3 linked regions of the Saccharomyces cerevisiae S288C genome follow. Changing the gene in region 2 together with the main gene of any one other region gives a genetic interaction. Each region holds a gene or a part of one and is shown on either strand. Other genes may lie near its edges.

Region 1 (6,273 bases), on a different chromosome or scaffold from region 2:
AGATCACAAATAGGTTAGAGACACAGCAGCAGCAGCAGCAGCAGCAGGTTCAACAGGATTATTCTAACGTGCCACAGCAGTATTCGAGCATATTAATGAAAAGATTAATTCACCAAATTTACAATTCCAATCAACACCAATGGGAGGACGATTTAGATTTTGCTACTTATGTTCAAGGTACTAAACTATTGAACCATTTAACTTCACCAACCTGGAGACAGGGCAGTGGGGTACAGCCGATAGAATTACTGACCGACTCCAAACAAAGCTCCTCAACTTACTGGCAATGTGAGAACGAACCTGGGTGTTCATGGGCCATAAGGTTTAAAACTCCTTTGTATCTAACCAAAATTTCGTACATGCATGGCCGTTTTACTAATAACCTACATATAATGAACTCAGCACCAAGACTGATCTCATTATATGTAAAACTGTCACAGACTAAAGAGATCAAAGCATTGCAGACATTGGCAAATCAATACGGTTTCGGGCAGCATCACAAGAGAGACCGAAATTACATCAAGATCGCAAAATTTGAGTACAGGTTGACAGATTCTAGAATACGCCAACAAATGTATCTGCCCCCATGGTTCATTCAGTTAAAACCACTCGTACGCTCAATTGTCTTTCAAGTGGACGAGAACTACGGGAACAAAAAGTTCATATCTCTGAGGAAATTTATCATCAACGGAGTGACACCGCAGGATTTGCAAATAATTGAAAATAACGAGTTCCCTGTTTTACTGGGTGACACCCCAGAATATGGTGTCACTCAGAACACCGACGAAGGCAAGAGGAAAGTTCTCCTATCAAAGCCTCCTTACGCGTCTTCATCTACTAGTACCAAGTTTCATCCCGCTTCTAACGTCCCATCATTTGGCCAAGATGAGCTAGATCAATAAACGACAATAAAAAATTAAACGTTCTAACCCCCTGGCCCCCAGAAAATCGCGCAGATTGACGGCACTCCCTTTAAATCATAGAGTTAATCAGCTACTCACCACTCTCTTTCGGTACTGGCGTTATTCTGAATTCCAACCTTGAACACAGCCACACGGCATTCAGATGTTGCTCCCATGCGTGGACTCACGCTCTGCGATTAACAGCTCATGGAAATTTCCTCGTGCTATTTAAGACTGCAGTCGTTTGGAAATCGGAATATCTTTTTTCGTGCAGTTTTGCGGGAAATTTTCCCTACTTAAAAAGCTGAATGAAAATCAGAAATATCTGCAAAAAAAAAAGGTAAAAAAGGGAAATTTTAAGACATAGCATAAAGGACTTGGTTTTGTTTCAATACTCAGCCCTTTTCATTCATTTCTATCACAAGTTTTTTTTTGCTCTCGTTTCCATTTTCTTCGTTTACTTATTATTGACGTACATCTTTTTTAGTTTCAAATAACATAGCAAGAAGGCTTAACTAAGTTCCTATATTCTTGGCATATTTATCATCATCAGGTCTTTTAAAAGTATCTCAGAACGTAACTTCAACGCCTTTAGATTTTTTTCACAACACGACTCTATTGCAAGAGACAAAAAAAATTAAAATGGGCATTTTGGACTCGCTGAAAAAACCTGTTAATATCAAGAGTTCGCTCCCCAAATTCTCCCGCAGTGCTACCAGCATCAATTTAAGTAGCCACCCAGTAAGTTCACGGTCCTTCCTCGAATTACCACCAGAGCTTTTCAGCATCACTAAACCTATATTTAAGCTTCTGCAAGCACACGCAAATAAGATTTACTTCCAATCTTCCGACGCTGAGGCTGTATGGAATGTTAAGGATTCTTCTGGACATGTTTTTGAAGCAGAGTCAATTTCTTTGCTCGGCTCTCATATAATTATCACAAATTCCTCTGTACAAGTCGCAGACGTGGCCATCATAGATTCCCCTTCCAACATAAACCAATGTGAAATTTCAAGCGTTGGAGAGTTCCTGCAATTCAATAATGGCCAACTATCTATCACATGTAACGATTTTGGTTTACTGGAGAAGTTCAAAAGGTTGTGTATGATTTCTATTTTTGAGTTCATTTCTATATATAAGGCCTTGACAGGCACAGTGATTTCCTCTTATGGGCTGAGAATGTCTGATATGCATATCATTTTGAACTCGCCGTTCAATTTTAAGGATTGGTGTGAAGTTTATCTTGATGGTCAAGGTTGGGTGAAAGTGTGGTGTCATATTGATAAAGTGTCTAAAACCAATAATTCTAAAAGTAGTAGTGACAATGATGCTAAAGGAAAGTATCAAATACGGTTTTATAGAGATGACAAATCCACATCTAGCAAGAACTGCGTTTTTTTTATTCCTGACAATGAGTACGTTCAAGATATTTTCTTTTATAACATCAATGCGGCAGAACCTTCTAAAAATATGAACGACTTTTTTCAAGGGTTGCAAATGATAAAGCTCGTTGGTAATGTACGCTTTTGCAGTGATACGGACTTTAATGATGTGGTGGATAGTGGATCCATCTATAGTAGTGCAAACAACGGCAGTGGTGACAGCAGCTCGACAGCATTGAATAATGAAAGTCCTAACACTACACCAAAAAGTAGAACTTTCTTTTCACCTAAAGGGCACAGAAGAAATAGCTCCCATGTAAGTTCGTTAACTTCTAGATCAACAAAAAAGCCTATAACTAACTTCACTACACGTACAAATGGGCTTTTGATTAGGCCATTGCCCCATCATGGCGTACATCACCTGGAAGCAATGATCAGGTTCATTATTCCTTTGATGGATTGTGCAAGACTTTATGGGCGTCCAGTTCAATTCAAGACAGAAAGAACCGATATAAATTCGTTAATGTTTGGATTACCTAAATTGCCCTCAGTGGATTATTTTGCTGAAGAGGAGATTGCCCATTTGATGACCCAGGAATTTAATCCTTTGAAAGAAAAAGATACTGACGATACTATGGCTTTAACTATGTCAAGATTTTCTAGCTACCTGCAAGAAAGAATGACAAAAGTCTCCAAGAGAAACACAGAACTCAACTTCAGGACCTTTAGTGATGTAATGGGCATGTATAATACTACGAGGGATCACTCTAAACTTAATTGCATGAGTGACAAGGATAATTCTGTGAAGGAATTTTCATTGAGTGATAAAAGCAATGTTAGTTCTGAAACGACTAATATGATGAATCAATTGCAAGTAAACGCCCATGAATACAAAAGTTCTATGTGCGAACGTCCTATCGTCGCAAGTACTTCGCCCATTGCATAGTTCTTCGCATATATAGCCACATCTCAAAAACTTACATACAGTGTATATATTTGTGGTACAGTTTCTGTATAGCCAAATATACCCTGATATAATCTTATGTGATATTATATACTTCCATCCTAATACTAAACTTTTTCGTTTAACGTGACGCATGGTGCGAAGAAAAAAAAATAGCAAATCGCCACTCAATAAAGTGAGTAGAGAGCATTATATCAAAAAAGCATCGATAATATCGAGTGATCATACGTTGAAAATCATCAAGTACAATAGTGATATAAGCCACAATGCAAGCTCCAGTGGTATTTATGAATGCTTCTCAAGAGAGAACTACCGGTCGTCAGGCCCAAATCTCCAATATCACTGCTGCAAAGGCAGTTGCCGATGTCATTCGAACTTGCTTAGGTCCAAAAGCTATGTTAAAGATGTTATTGGATCCTATGGGCGGTCTTGTGTTGACTAACGATGGCCACGCTATTTTAAGGGAAATTGATGTTGCACATCCAGCAGCTAAATCAATGTTGGAGTTATCCCGTACTCAAGACGAAGAGGTTGGTGACGGGACTACAACAGTTATTATTCTAGCTGGTGAGATTTTAGCTCAGTGTGCACCTTATTTGATTGAAAAAAATATTCACCCTGTTATTATTATCCAAGCCTTGAAGAAAGCACTGACTGATGCACTAGAAGTTATCAAACAAGTAAGTAAACCTGTCGATGTGGAAAATGATGCCGCTATGAAAAAATTGATTCAAGCCTCTATCGGTACTAAATATGTCATACATTGGTCAGAGAAAATGTGTGAATTAGCTCTAGACGCTGTTAAGACTGTCCGTAAAGACCTGGGACAAACTGTGGAAGGTGAACCTAATTTTGAAATCGATATCAAAAGATATGTCCGTGTGGAGAAGATTCCTGGGGGGGATGTTCTAGATTCTCGCGTCTTAAAGGGTGTCTTATTGAACAAGGATGTTGTTCATCCAAAGATGTCCCGTCACATAGAGAATCCACGTGTTGTTCTTTTGGATTGTCCACTAGAATATAAGAAGGGTGAATCTCAAACCAACATAGAAATTGAAAAGGAGGAAGATTGGAATAGGATTTTACAAATCGAGGAAGAACAAGTTCAGCTAATGTGTGAACAAATTTTAGCCGTTAGGCCAACACTAGTCATCACTGAAAAAGGTGTTTCAGATCTAGCACAGCATTATTTACTAAAGGGTGGATGTAGTGTTTTAAGAAGAGTGAAGAAATCAGACAATAATAGAATTGCTCGTGTAACTGGTGCAACCATTGTCAATCGTGTAGAGGACTTGAAGGAAAGTGATGTCGGTACAAACTGTGGATTATTCAAAGTAGAAATGATTGGGGACGAATATTTCTCATTTTTGGATAACTGCAAGGAACCAAAAGCTTGTACCATAATGTTACGTGGTGGTTCCAAAGATATATTAAACGAAATAGATCGTAACCTACAAGATGCTATGGCTGTTGCTCGTAATGTGATGTTGAGTCCTTCCTTGTCCCCAGGTGGTGGTGCCACCGAGATGGCAGTTTCTGTCAAATTAGCAGAAAAGGCAAAGCAATTAGAAGGGATCCAGCAATGGCCATACCAAGCTGTAGCTGATGCTATGGAGTGTATTCCACGTACTTTGATACAAAATGCAGGTGGTGATCCTATTAGACTCCTATCCCAACTAAGAGCCAAACACGCACAGGGAAATTTTACAACAGGTATTGATGGTGACAAGGGGAAAATTGTAGATATGGTTAGTTACGGTATTTGGGAACCTGAAGTCATCAAGCAGCAAAGTGTCAAAACCGCTATTGAAAGTGCATGTTTACTATTAAGGGTTGATGATATTGTTAGTGGTGTAAGAAAACAAGAATAATAGCCTCGAGGTTAAACTTCATTACTGCCGTTTAATATTTGGTGTTTCTTCACATTTTTTTGTTTTTTTATACTATTGTAATGTATTTATATAGAATTAAAGTCCTCACTATAATTTTGTCATCCCTACAGTATGTCATAAGCGTTAATCGGACAAACGTTCATTTTAAAATTGGCCTTTTTATATTTATATTACTCCTCATAGGATTTAATATAGAAGTATCATTCGTTAAATAATCATTATATCATCTGTGCTTTAAATAAAAAAGTCGGCCGTCGATGTGTTTACGATTGGCCAGTATACTTACTCATTCATGGGATTAGTTTTATTTCAACGCTGTGGTGGGTACGATATGAAAGACGAACTCGACTTGTCATCATCTGAAATGATCTCAGAATTTTTGCTTTGAGAAAAAGAATTTGATTCTCTCATTTCTAAAATTGGGGTTAACTGCCGCGGCTTGACAGCTGAGATGATATCAGACGTCTCAGTGCTTCGTCCCTTTGGCGTCATAGGGCAGTTTATGTACTCTTCGCCAGAAAACATTCTTCCCTGGTTTGAGGGGGTCAACGACTTGGAGACTAAGGCTTTTCTACTTATTTTTGGTCTTTTCGATTGTGCTTCAGCTTCTTTTTGATTTGCGCTTTCTTCTTGCCCTAAATTTGCTTCTCTTGGATGTTTCCTATTTGTCCTAACCCTTTTATAAACGTTTCTAGAAATTGCCAAGACTTCTTCTAGCGAAAATTCTAGTCTACCACCTTTAGATTCCTCATCTTCACAATAAATCAGTTTAAAATTACAGTCAATTTTTTCTGGTTTCTGGTCCTTTGTATTAATCATTTGATAAACAGGGTCACTTCTACCTATAGAATCTCTAAAGATCGGTAGTTTTTCATCATATGGTCTCTTTTTTTGCGATAACATCTCATGTTGTTTAAGCTCACCCAAATTGGTATTTGCTTCTAGCAATGATATTCGAAGGTTGTTTTCTTTGTTCCTTTCTGCCTTTAAGTCAAAATTTTCCCAGCCATCTCTATAAACACCTCTATTCGGAGTTTCGAATAGTTCTACATCAGACTCTTCTCCATCTACAAATACGTTGTTTTTTGTTAAATTGACGTCACTTGATGTGCCATTTTGATTTGCAAGCTCTA
Region 2 (3,361 bases):
ATTTGGAAGATATTTTCGCTCTTGAAAGCTATAGAGATTAATTATGTTTTTCCCTTGGTATACCTTTTCTGTGTTGTCTTTCAGTTCCTGTCTTTAGGATGTTATTTATCGATCTTTTTCAGAAAGACCAAAAGCGAAGAAGCGAAGAAGAGGACTTCTCTGTACTAAGACCAAATTATGTAAAAGGAAAACTAAACATGAATATGTGAATTTATTTCCAAAACACAGCAGAGCTTAAAGATGGGGTAAACTCATATTCATATTCATATACACGTATGTATATAAAAATTCATTTAAAAGGATTGCTTTGGTTTTCTACAACACTAAAAAGCACAATAAAATAATAAAGTAAAAAAAAAAATGTGATAATGAGGTCGTTTTAAGGTACTTTTGTTATTTCATCTCCCAAGCAGTTGATCCTATACACTAATACACAGACACATTAACCACACGTTCAGATATGTATGAGAAAAAGGAAGAAGAAAAATAATTTTTTTTCCTTACACTAGGCCCCTTTCTCTTTCCAAACGGGTCTTCATTTTATTAAACCAGTCTTGCAATGTTTCGCCTTTCCGGTTTAGCACTACAATGATGGCAGTCATATTGTCAAAGCCGACACCAGTATTGCTATTTGCCTGCGCTATCCCGTGGTCCAACAATTTTGTTATTATTGTATCCAACTTCGTCCCTGATACCAGGTGATACTTTATAAAGTGAATTAACTGTTTGTTGTTATAAATATCCCATATACCGTCGCAAGCCAGTACTAAAAACTCATCTTTAGAATAGTCAATCTTGTGCATCAATACGTCTGGTTCAACGGTAACTTGTGCTTCTTGTGGTGGGGTTCCATAAGTTAAATTCTGGGTAATATTTGTTAGTTTTGTCCTTCTATGTGGATAAGTGACACCTCTCTTGAATTGGAAATCACTAAATGCCCTACTGAGAGCCAGTACTCCACCCACTCTTCCAAGAGAGACAGTACCACCATTATCGTTTATACGTATCAATTCTCCTATGTGTTGTGGCTTATGATCGAAAGACATCGTCTTTATGCCATTCGATTTGGAGGAAAGAATACATCGCGAATCACCACAGTTAGCCACATACAGTGATTCCTCGTTTATGATGCATGCTACTACTGCTGTAGATCCACACGAACTGTTGGCAAAATGTCGATATAACTCTTCATCTTGCAATATGAAAGCGTCTTTAAAAATTTGAGAAACAAGTCCTTCCAACGTATTGAAGGATCTTTTAAATTTTGATGAGTCGTTATTAGTTGTAGATGTGTAATGGTGGTTTTCGAAACTATACGCAATCCATTTGATCAGGCCAGCGTTGGGTTCACCATTACCGTTGCTACTGCCGTTACCATCGCGATGGTGGCGGCCGCCGCTTAGAAATTTCGAACAATCATCTCCACCATGACCATCGAATACTGCGAAGACGTTCAATGACAGGGTTTCGTATTTGTCTATGAATGGGTTGAAAAATCGTACGTACACAACAGAGTTTTCATTTCTAATTAGATGTGCATCTTCCTGAGTCAAACGATAGCCTTGCATGGACCCCACACAATTGTAAAATCGTGGAACAATACCAGTTGACGCCTGGTTGTTTTTATATTCATTATATTCTATGGTCTTCTCCGTCAACGGATGGGAAAGCAATTGACCCATTTTTGTCTTCTTCAAATTGAAGTTACTTTCTAAAATGGCTATATAGGGGAGAATAGAGGCAAAAAGGGCGATGGGATAGAAAAGAAGACGTAAGGGCTCCGTGCTAAGAAAGAAGAAAAAGATGCAGTTGAAAACAACGTAAAACTAGAGATCCAATGTCAATTGTTTATGTAGCCAATATCTTCGTTATGCGGTGTGAACAGCGACAATAAAAAAAAATGTGGGATAAATTATGGCTTTTTTTTCTTGATTTCCTTTTTCTTTTTATTCATGATGTTTCGAAGAAGAGATCAGCGCGGGAGAGAAAGAAAGAGAGAGAAAAAGAGGGCCTATACGGTGAAAAAACTACTTGCGCAGCTTCAGTAACAGCGCTACAGACAGGCGTTAACGAATAGGAGAGGACGTGTGGCGTTTCAGTTATGTCATTTATATAATTTTATATAAAGTATAAAAAAAGTGAATAGAAGAGAGGGCAGAGAAAACCGGACCAGGAATAGACGATCGTCTCATTTGCATCGGGTTCATCAGTTTTTGGTGGCAGAGGAGCTTGTTGAGCTTGATGATGTACTGTATAATTCATGGACGAAATTTTCACCCCAGAAGGCAGAAGTGTATTTAGAGATGTATTTGTAAAGTTTTTCCCAGTTAACTTCTTTCTTTACATCGGGCAAAGTCAAGGCCTCGTTGATGGCATCAGAAAGATCATCGGTGTTCCAAGGATTTACAATAATAGCACCATTCAAGGATTGTGCGGCACCTGTGAACTCACTCAGGATTAAGGAACCTTTCTTTTCTTCTTGGCAAGCAATATATTCGTAGGAAACCAAGTTCATACCATCACGGGTGGACGAGACCAAACAAACATCGCTCACAGCATATAACGAAATCAGCTCTTCAAATGGTATAGACTTGTGCATGAAATGGATGGGGACGAATTCCACAGTACCGAACTGACCGTTGATTCTACCGACCAACTCATTGACCACAGATCTTAAATATTGGTACTCTTCCACATCTCCACGACTTGGCACTGCAACCTGTACCAGAACAACCTTGCCCCTCCATTCTGGATGCTCGTTCAGAAACACTTCCATGGCGTGCAACTTCTGAGGCACACCTTTGATGTAATCCAGCCTGTCGACACCAACTATGATCTTGCAGCCCTTGAAAGTTTCCTTCAATTGTTGGATTCTCTTTTGTACGGATTCCTTTTTCAACCCATCGGTGAACTTGTCCACGTCGATACCGATAGGGAAGGCCCCTACGTTAACGAATCTGCCCTGGTATTCCACCCCATTAGGCAATGTGTTCACGTTAAGCACTCTTTGCACGGAAGACAAGAAATGTCTTGCATAATCGTATGTGTGGAACCCGACTAAATCACAACTCAAAACACCCTTCAAAATCTCTTGTCTGACAGGTAAGATTCTGTAAATTTCACTCGAAGGGAATGGTGTGTGCAGGAACCACCCGACCTTAACGTTTTGCAGTTGCTTCTCGTGAATCTTGACTCTCAACATTTCCGGAACCAACATCAAATGGTAATCATGCACCCAGATTAAATCGTTATGGTTCATAGTCTTAGCAATCTCGTTGGTGAACGTCTGGTTTGCCTCGTTGTATGCCAACCACGCATTCTCGTCGAAATTGATCTCACCAGGATGGTAATGGAATAACGG
Region 3 (6,366 bases), on a different chromosome or scaffold from region 2:
CCGTTTCAAGATGACCCAGATCTCTAAACCTTTTTTCCATTCCACTGAAGTTGGTAAGCCCGGACCACAGCAGAAGCTATCGAAATCTTACACTGCGGTATTCAAGAAATGGTTTGTCAGAGGTTTAAAGTTAACCTTTTACACGACGTTGGCCGGCACATTGTATGTGTCATACGAGCTGTACAAAGAATCGAACCCACCCAAACAGGTTCCCCAATCGACCGCTTTTGCTAATGGTTTGAAAAAGAAGGAGCTGGTTATTTTGGGTACAGGCTGGGGCGCCATATCTCTTTTGAAGAAATTAGACACGTCTTTGTATAACGTGACCGTGGTGTCGCCAAGAAGCTTCTTTTTGTTCACACCGTTATTACCCTCAACGCCTGTGGGTACGATAGAGATGAAGTCTATTGTCGAACCGGTTAGATCGATCGCTAGAAGAACGCCTGGAGAAGTTCACTACATTGAGGCGGAAGCGTTGGACGTTGATCCAAAGGCCAAAAAAGTAATGGTGCAATCGGTGTCAGAGGACGAATATTTCGTTTCGAGCTTAAGTTACGATTATCTTGTTGTTAGTGTAGGCGCTAAAACCACTACTTTTAACATTCCCGGGGTCTATGGCAATGCTAACTTCTTGAAAGAGATTGAAGATGCTCAAAATATTCGTATGAAGTTAATGAAAACCATAGAACAGGCAAGTTCATTTCCTGTGAACGATCCGGAAAGGAAGCGATTATTAACGTTCGTGGTTGTTGGAGGGGGCCCTACGGGGGTTGAATTTGCCGCCGAACTGCAAGATTACATCAATCAAGATTTGAGGAAGTGGATGCCCGACTTAAGTAAAGAAATGAAGGTTATCTTAATTGAAGCCCTGCCTAATATCCTAAACATGTTCGATAAGACGTTGATCAAGTATGCCGAGGACCTTTTTGCCAGAGATGAAATTGACTTGCAAGTGAATACTGCCGTGAAAGTCGTAGAGCCAACCTATATACGCACTCTGCAAAACGGCCAAACAAACACGGATATCGAATACGGGATGCTGGTTTGGGCCACGGGAAATGAACCAATCGATTTTTCAAAGACACTGATGAGTAGAATACCGGAGCAAACTAATAGGCGTGGTCTGTTAATTAATGACAAGTTGGAGCTTCTCGGTTCTGAGAATTCGATTTATGCAATTGGTGATTGTACCGCACACACGGGTTTCTTTCCCACGGCACAAGTTGCACATCAGGAAGGCGAATACTTGGCCAAGATCTTGGATAAAAAATTACAGATAGAACAATTGGAATGGGACATGCTCAACAGTACCGATGAAACTGAGGTATCACGTCTACAAAAAGAGGTTAATTTGAGGAAATCTAAGTTGGATAAGTTCAACTACAAGCATATGGGTGCCCTTGCGTACATCGGCTCTGAAACCGCAATTGCAGATTTGCATATGGGCGACTCATCATACCAGTTGAAAGGTATGTTTGCCTTCTTGTTTTGGAAATCCGCTTATTTGGCCATGTGTCTCTCTATCAGGAATAGGATTTTAATTGCCATGGACTGGACCAAAGTTTACTTTCTTGGAAGGGATTCCTCCGTGTAGTCCTTGTTTTATATATTCATTGTTCCAATTCAAATTGTTTACTATCATTTACGTATTATAACCAGTATTTCCCTTTATTGGTCATGGAAGATTCGCGTTACCCTTACTCGTTAACAGTGATATTATTTGTATATGTGATGAAAATTTAAGAAAAAAATAGTCGACAACACGCCGAATAAACAAAGGGTTTCTTCAATACCTGATATAGTAGCTAGAGGGCAGAAGTTTGAGGTGATATCTTTCTGAGTGTTGTTATTTTTGTAAGTCGTAACACGGAACTGTTTGCCTGTTGGAATTTTACGTTACTATTCTCATCGGTATAACTAGCTTATATTCACTTTGGCAATAGGTTAAAAAAAGCTCGTTCATTTTTTTAAAAACAGCAACGATGTCACACGAAGGTGAAGAAGATTTATTGGAGTACTCCGATAACGAACAAGAAATTCAAATTGATGCCTCTAAGGCCGCTGAAGCTGGAGAAACTGGCGCCGCCACTTCTGCAACTGAAGGTGATAATAATAACAACACTGCAGCTGGCGACAAGAAAGGTTCCTATGTTGGTATCCATTCCACCGGTTTCAAAGATTTCTTGCTAAAGCCAGAACTATCAAGAGCCATCATTGACTGTGGTTTTGAACATCCTTCTGAGGTCCAGCAACATACCATTCCTCAGTCAATTCATGGTACCGATGTCTTGTGTCAAGCAAAGTCTGGTTTAGGTAAGACAGCTGTCTTTGTCTTATCCACTCTGCAACAATTGGACCCTGTTCCAGGTGAAGTTGCCGTTGTTGTCATTTGTAATGCTAGAGAACTGGCCTATCAAATTCGTAACGAGTATTTGAGATTTTCCAAATATATGCCAGACGTTAAGACAGCAGTCTTTTACGGTGGTACTCCAATTTCTAAGGATGCTGAACTTTTAAAGAATAAAGATACTGCTCCTCACATTGTTGTTGCAACTCCAGGTCGTTTAAAAGCGTTAGTGAGAGAAAAATACATTGATTTGTCACACGTCAAGAACTTTGTCATAGATGAATGTGATAAGGTTTTAGAAGAATTAGACATGAGAAGAGATGTGCAAGAAATTTTCAGAGCTACTCCAAGAGACAAACAAGTCATGATGTTTTCAGCCACACTTTCTCAAGAAATTAGACCAATTTGTAGACGCTTCTTACAGAATCCATTGGAAATTTTCGTCGATGATGAAGCTAAGCTAACCTTGCACGGGTTGCAACAATATTATATCAAATTAGAAGAACGTGAAAAGAACCGTAAATTGGCTCAATTATTAGATGATTTGGAGTTCAATCAAGTCATTATTTTCGTTAAATCTACCACAAGAGCTAATGAGTTGACCAAACTATTAAACGCCTCTAACTTTCCGGCTATCACCGTTCATGGTCATATGAAACAAGAAGAACGTATTGCTCGTTACAAGGCTTTCAAAGATTTTGAAAAACGTATTTGCGTGTCCACAGATGTTTTTGGTAGAGGTATCGATATTGAACGTATTAATTTAGCCATCAATTACGATTTGACTAATGAAGCTGACCAATATTTACATCGTGTCGGTAGAGCTGGTAGATTTGGTACTAAGGGTTTGGCTATTTCATTCGTTTCTTCAAAGGAAGATGAGGAAGTCTTGGCTAAGATCCAAGAGCGTTTCGATGTCAAAATCGCTGAATTCCCAGAAGAAGGCATTGATCCGTCCACTTATTTGAATAATTAATAAAGGAAAAAAGATACGTTTTTATATAGATTATATAAAGATTTTGTATTATTCAAACGAACAAAACAAACAAAAAAGGGGAAGTGGAAAAAAATTAGCAGTTATAGCGAAAGATTGAGTTTTTGTTGGAAAATGAACGTAGTGTAGTCATTTCGTGAACGCACAAGACAATTCTATTGGGCATCACATGGCAAAGCATGATAAGGAAATGAAGTTTTGGGAATGATTCTAAATTAACGTTTTACCCGTTATAGGAAGATATACAGTATATGTAAGTAAAAAGTTTTTTAATACAATAGATGTGCAAAGAAAAGTGAAGAGATTTCTGGAAAAAATCTTGAAATTTTCTTAACGGTAAGATTTTTGGAATCTAGAACGAGCACCCTTACCACCGAATTTCTTTGGTTCTGGTCTTCTAGAATCAGCGATCAACAAAGTTCTGTCGTAAGAGGTGAAGGCCTTCTTCAATTCGTTCTTGGATTGTTCGTCAACGTACTTTTGGTGGTAAGCGACTAAACCCTTAGCAATAGCTTGTCTGATGGCGTAGACTTGAGAAACATGACCACCACCAGTGACTCTAACTCTGATATCGATGTTGGAGAACTTGTCCAAACCAACCAACAATAATGGTTCGTAGACCTTGAATCTTAGGATTTCTGGTTCAACCAAAGTGATTGGAGAACCGTTGACCTTAATCAAACCCTTACCGGCCTTGACGTGGGCAACAGCGGTAGCTGATTTCTTCTTACCAAAAGTCTGTTATAAAACCAAAAATGAAAAACATTTCGTGTCACATGTTAGTAAAACAGAAATTCAAAATCCTCAAAAATATTATGAACTGTGTAAAAGGGTGAAACAAGTGAGGTACCCTGGCACTTCCTCTTTGGAGCATTCTGTTCAAAATTCATTGCAAGGGGAGCGAATGAATAAATAAGACCGCAAAAGACGCTCATTACTTTACTCCACAGAGAAATTAAGTATAATATTTTCCCACACAATTTATTGGTTATTTCTACTCGGTCTTTAACGTGTGAAATGGTGATCCGTTGTTCTAAAACTATGATTCGCATCTAGTGCTTGCCCCACCCGTCTTATTCAGGTGATATGGTTCTTAAATTGAAATTATCTCACTGCATGGTTTCAATATCCCTCACAAATTCGTGACATCGTTTAAATTATTTAACATACTTGGACACTTGGGACGGCAGACATCTTGTTGCTTATTCTCTTGCTGTATTTTTCGAAACACTGCTAAATAAAAAGGTATATATTAAATAGTCTACTGCGTAACCTATACATTTTACATGGCATTTACTTTTGACTTTGCCAGTGTTACTCTCTGCGCTAGGATAATATTCGGTGGTATAGGCTCACGCGGCCTGGCCGGAACGAACTGCTACCAGTTCTGTTTCCCTCAGCTAGAGGGAAACAGAGAGAATTTCCGCCCAGGTCAAAGGCCACAGCATCCTTCTAGAGGAGGAGCGACAACCTAAGGAAAATTCAGTTTTTCCTAGATCGCATACATTTTTCAACCACTTTTTTTCACAATGCATTATTTTTCAACATGTATGGGTGTTTTTTCTGAATATCAGACTCTTTTATGGAGTAAAACAAGCTATTAATATGTGACCCATACATTTCCTGTTACATCCTTACATATATGCAGGCAATTTTTTGTAGTTAGAAAATTTAATTTTTTTCTAGTCGGAATAATCACAGTAGAGGTGTGGAAATCTTGGAAAATTTGAAATGATCGGATATTAGCTACTAATCCATTTAAGCTTGCAGCATTCTGTTCGAAGGGGTTTGAGAAAAGCATAGTACAGCACAGCAGGAATCGTACACAATGGGTATGTCTACTATAAAATAATTCAAATCACTTTTGTCATTTCATAGACCAAAGAAGCTCGCTTGTTACCTTAGAGGATTATACTAGTGCACAAAGGCATGCATAATACAACACACGTTATTGATGAACCTAGAGAGGCTAAAGTTATTTTCTAATAAATCATGAGATTTTTCTCCTTTTTACAATAACTGAGCAGTCATAGTAATGGCCAAGCAAATTCGAGACAGGACCTTTGTACCACTATTTGCTGAACTCATTGTTAGAGTCTTCTTAGATAATATGATAAATTTGGTGTCTAATTGAAACGTCCACTTTTCTGTATACTAACAATTTTTAAAATGGGATCTACCAATTGAATTATATCAGCCATTTCCAAGAATTTACCAATCTTAAAGAATCATTTCAGAAAGCACTGGCAAGAACGTGTTAAAGTGCACTTCGACCAAGCTGGTAAGAAGGTTTCTAGACGTAATGCTAGAGCTACCAGAGCCGCTAAGATTGCTCCAAGACCTCTAGATCTCTTGAGACCTGTTGTTAGAGCCCCAACTGTTAAGTATAACAGAAAGGTCAGAGCTGGCAGAGGTTTCACCTTGGCTGAAGTTAAGGCCGCTGGTTTGACTGCTGCTTATGCCAGAACTATCGGTATCGCCGTTGACCACAGACGTCAAAACAGAAACCAAGAAATCTTTGATGCTAACGTTCAAAGATTAAAGGAATACCAATCTAAGATTATTGTTTTCCCAAGAAATGGTAAGGCCCCAGAAGCTGAACAAGTTTTGTCTGCTGCTGCTACTTTCCCAATTGCTCAACCAGCTACCGATGTTGAAGCTAGAGCTGTCCAAGACAATGGTGAATCTGCTTTCAGAACCTTGAGATTAGCCAGATCTGAGAAGAAATTCAGAGGTATCAGAGAAAAGAGAGCTAGAGAAAAGGCTGAAGCTGAAGCTGAAAAGAAGAAATAGATCTAAAAACTTCATCAAAGAATTTTTCATCCACAATTTTTGTATTTTCCTTCTTTTTTATCTGTTCAATTTCATAAATAATATATATGTACAATGTATAAACGGGAAGCCATCACTTATAATTTATCATTTCCTTAACTTTATAGTCTGGGTGAGAATATGGTTGACAGTATTTTTACAAGTTAGCGCAGTTTTCTTGATATGATGGAACATTATTGTATTAGTAGTAGTC

Evidence for each region. Genes that interact genetically often act in the same process or in processes that back each other up.
Region 1: mutations in PTC4 (region 2) and TPH3 together harm fitness more than expected from each alone (negative genetic interaction), as found in Saccharomyces cerevisiae (one large-scale study listed by BioGRID).
Region 3: mutations in PTC4 (region 2) and SUB2 together harm fitness more than expected from each alone (negative genetic interaction), as found in Saccharomyces cerevisiae (one large-scale study listed by BioGRID).

Annotation. Positions count from the first base shown.
Region 1 is NC_001142.9:404,044-410,316, forward strand, and holds TPH3 (Tph3p), read left to right. Parts: upstream 1-1,544; coding exon 1,545-3,230; downstream 3,231-6,273. Other genes in the region: MPS3 (Mps3p), read left to right, coding at 1-902; chaperonin-containing T-complex subunit CCT3, read left to right, coding at 3,515-5,119; MAD3 (Mad3p), read right to left, coding at 5,450-6,273.
Region 2 is NC_001134.8:486,699-490,059, forward strand, and holds PTC4 (type 2C protein phosphatase PTC4), read right to left. Parts: upstream 1,683-3,361; coding exon 501-1,682; downstream 1-500. Other genes in the region: alpha,alpha-trehalose-phosphate synthase (UDP-forming) TPS1, read right to left, coding at 2,207-3,361.
Region 3 is NC_001136.10:303,255-309,620, forward strand, and holds SUB2 (ATP-dependent RNA helicase SUB2), read left to right. Parts: upstream 1-1,982; coding exon 1,983-3,323; downstream 3,324-6,366. Other genes in the region: NADH-ubiquinone reductase (H(+)-translocating) NDE2, read left to right, coding at 1-1,594; 40S ribosomal protein uS9 RPS16B, read right to left, coding at 3,672-4,079, 4,512-4,535; 60S ribosomal protein eL13 RPL13A, read left to right, coding at 5,170-5,173, 5,539-6,134. UniProt on the Saccharomyces cerevisiae protein: ATP-binding RNA helicase component of the TREX complex involved in transcription elongation and required for the export of mRNA out of the nucleus. SUB2 also plays a role in pre-mRNA splicing and spliceosome assembly.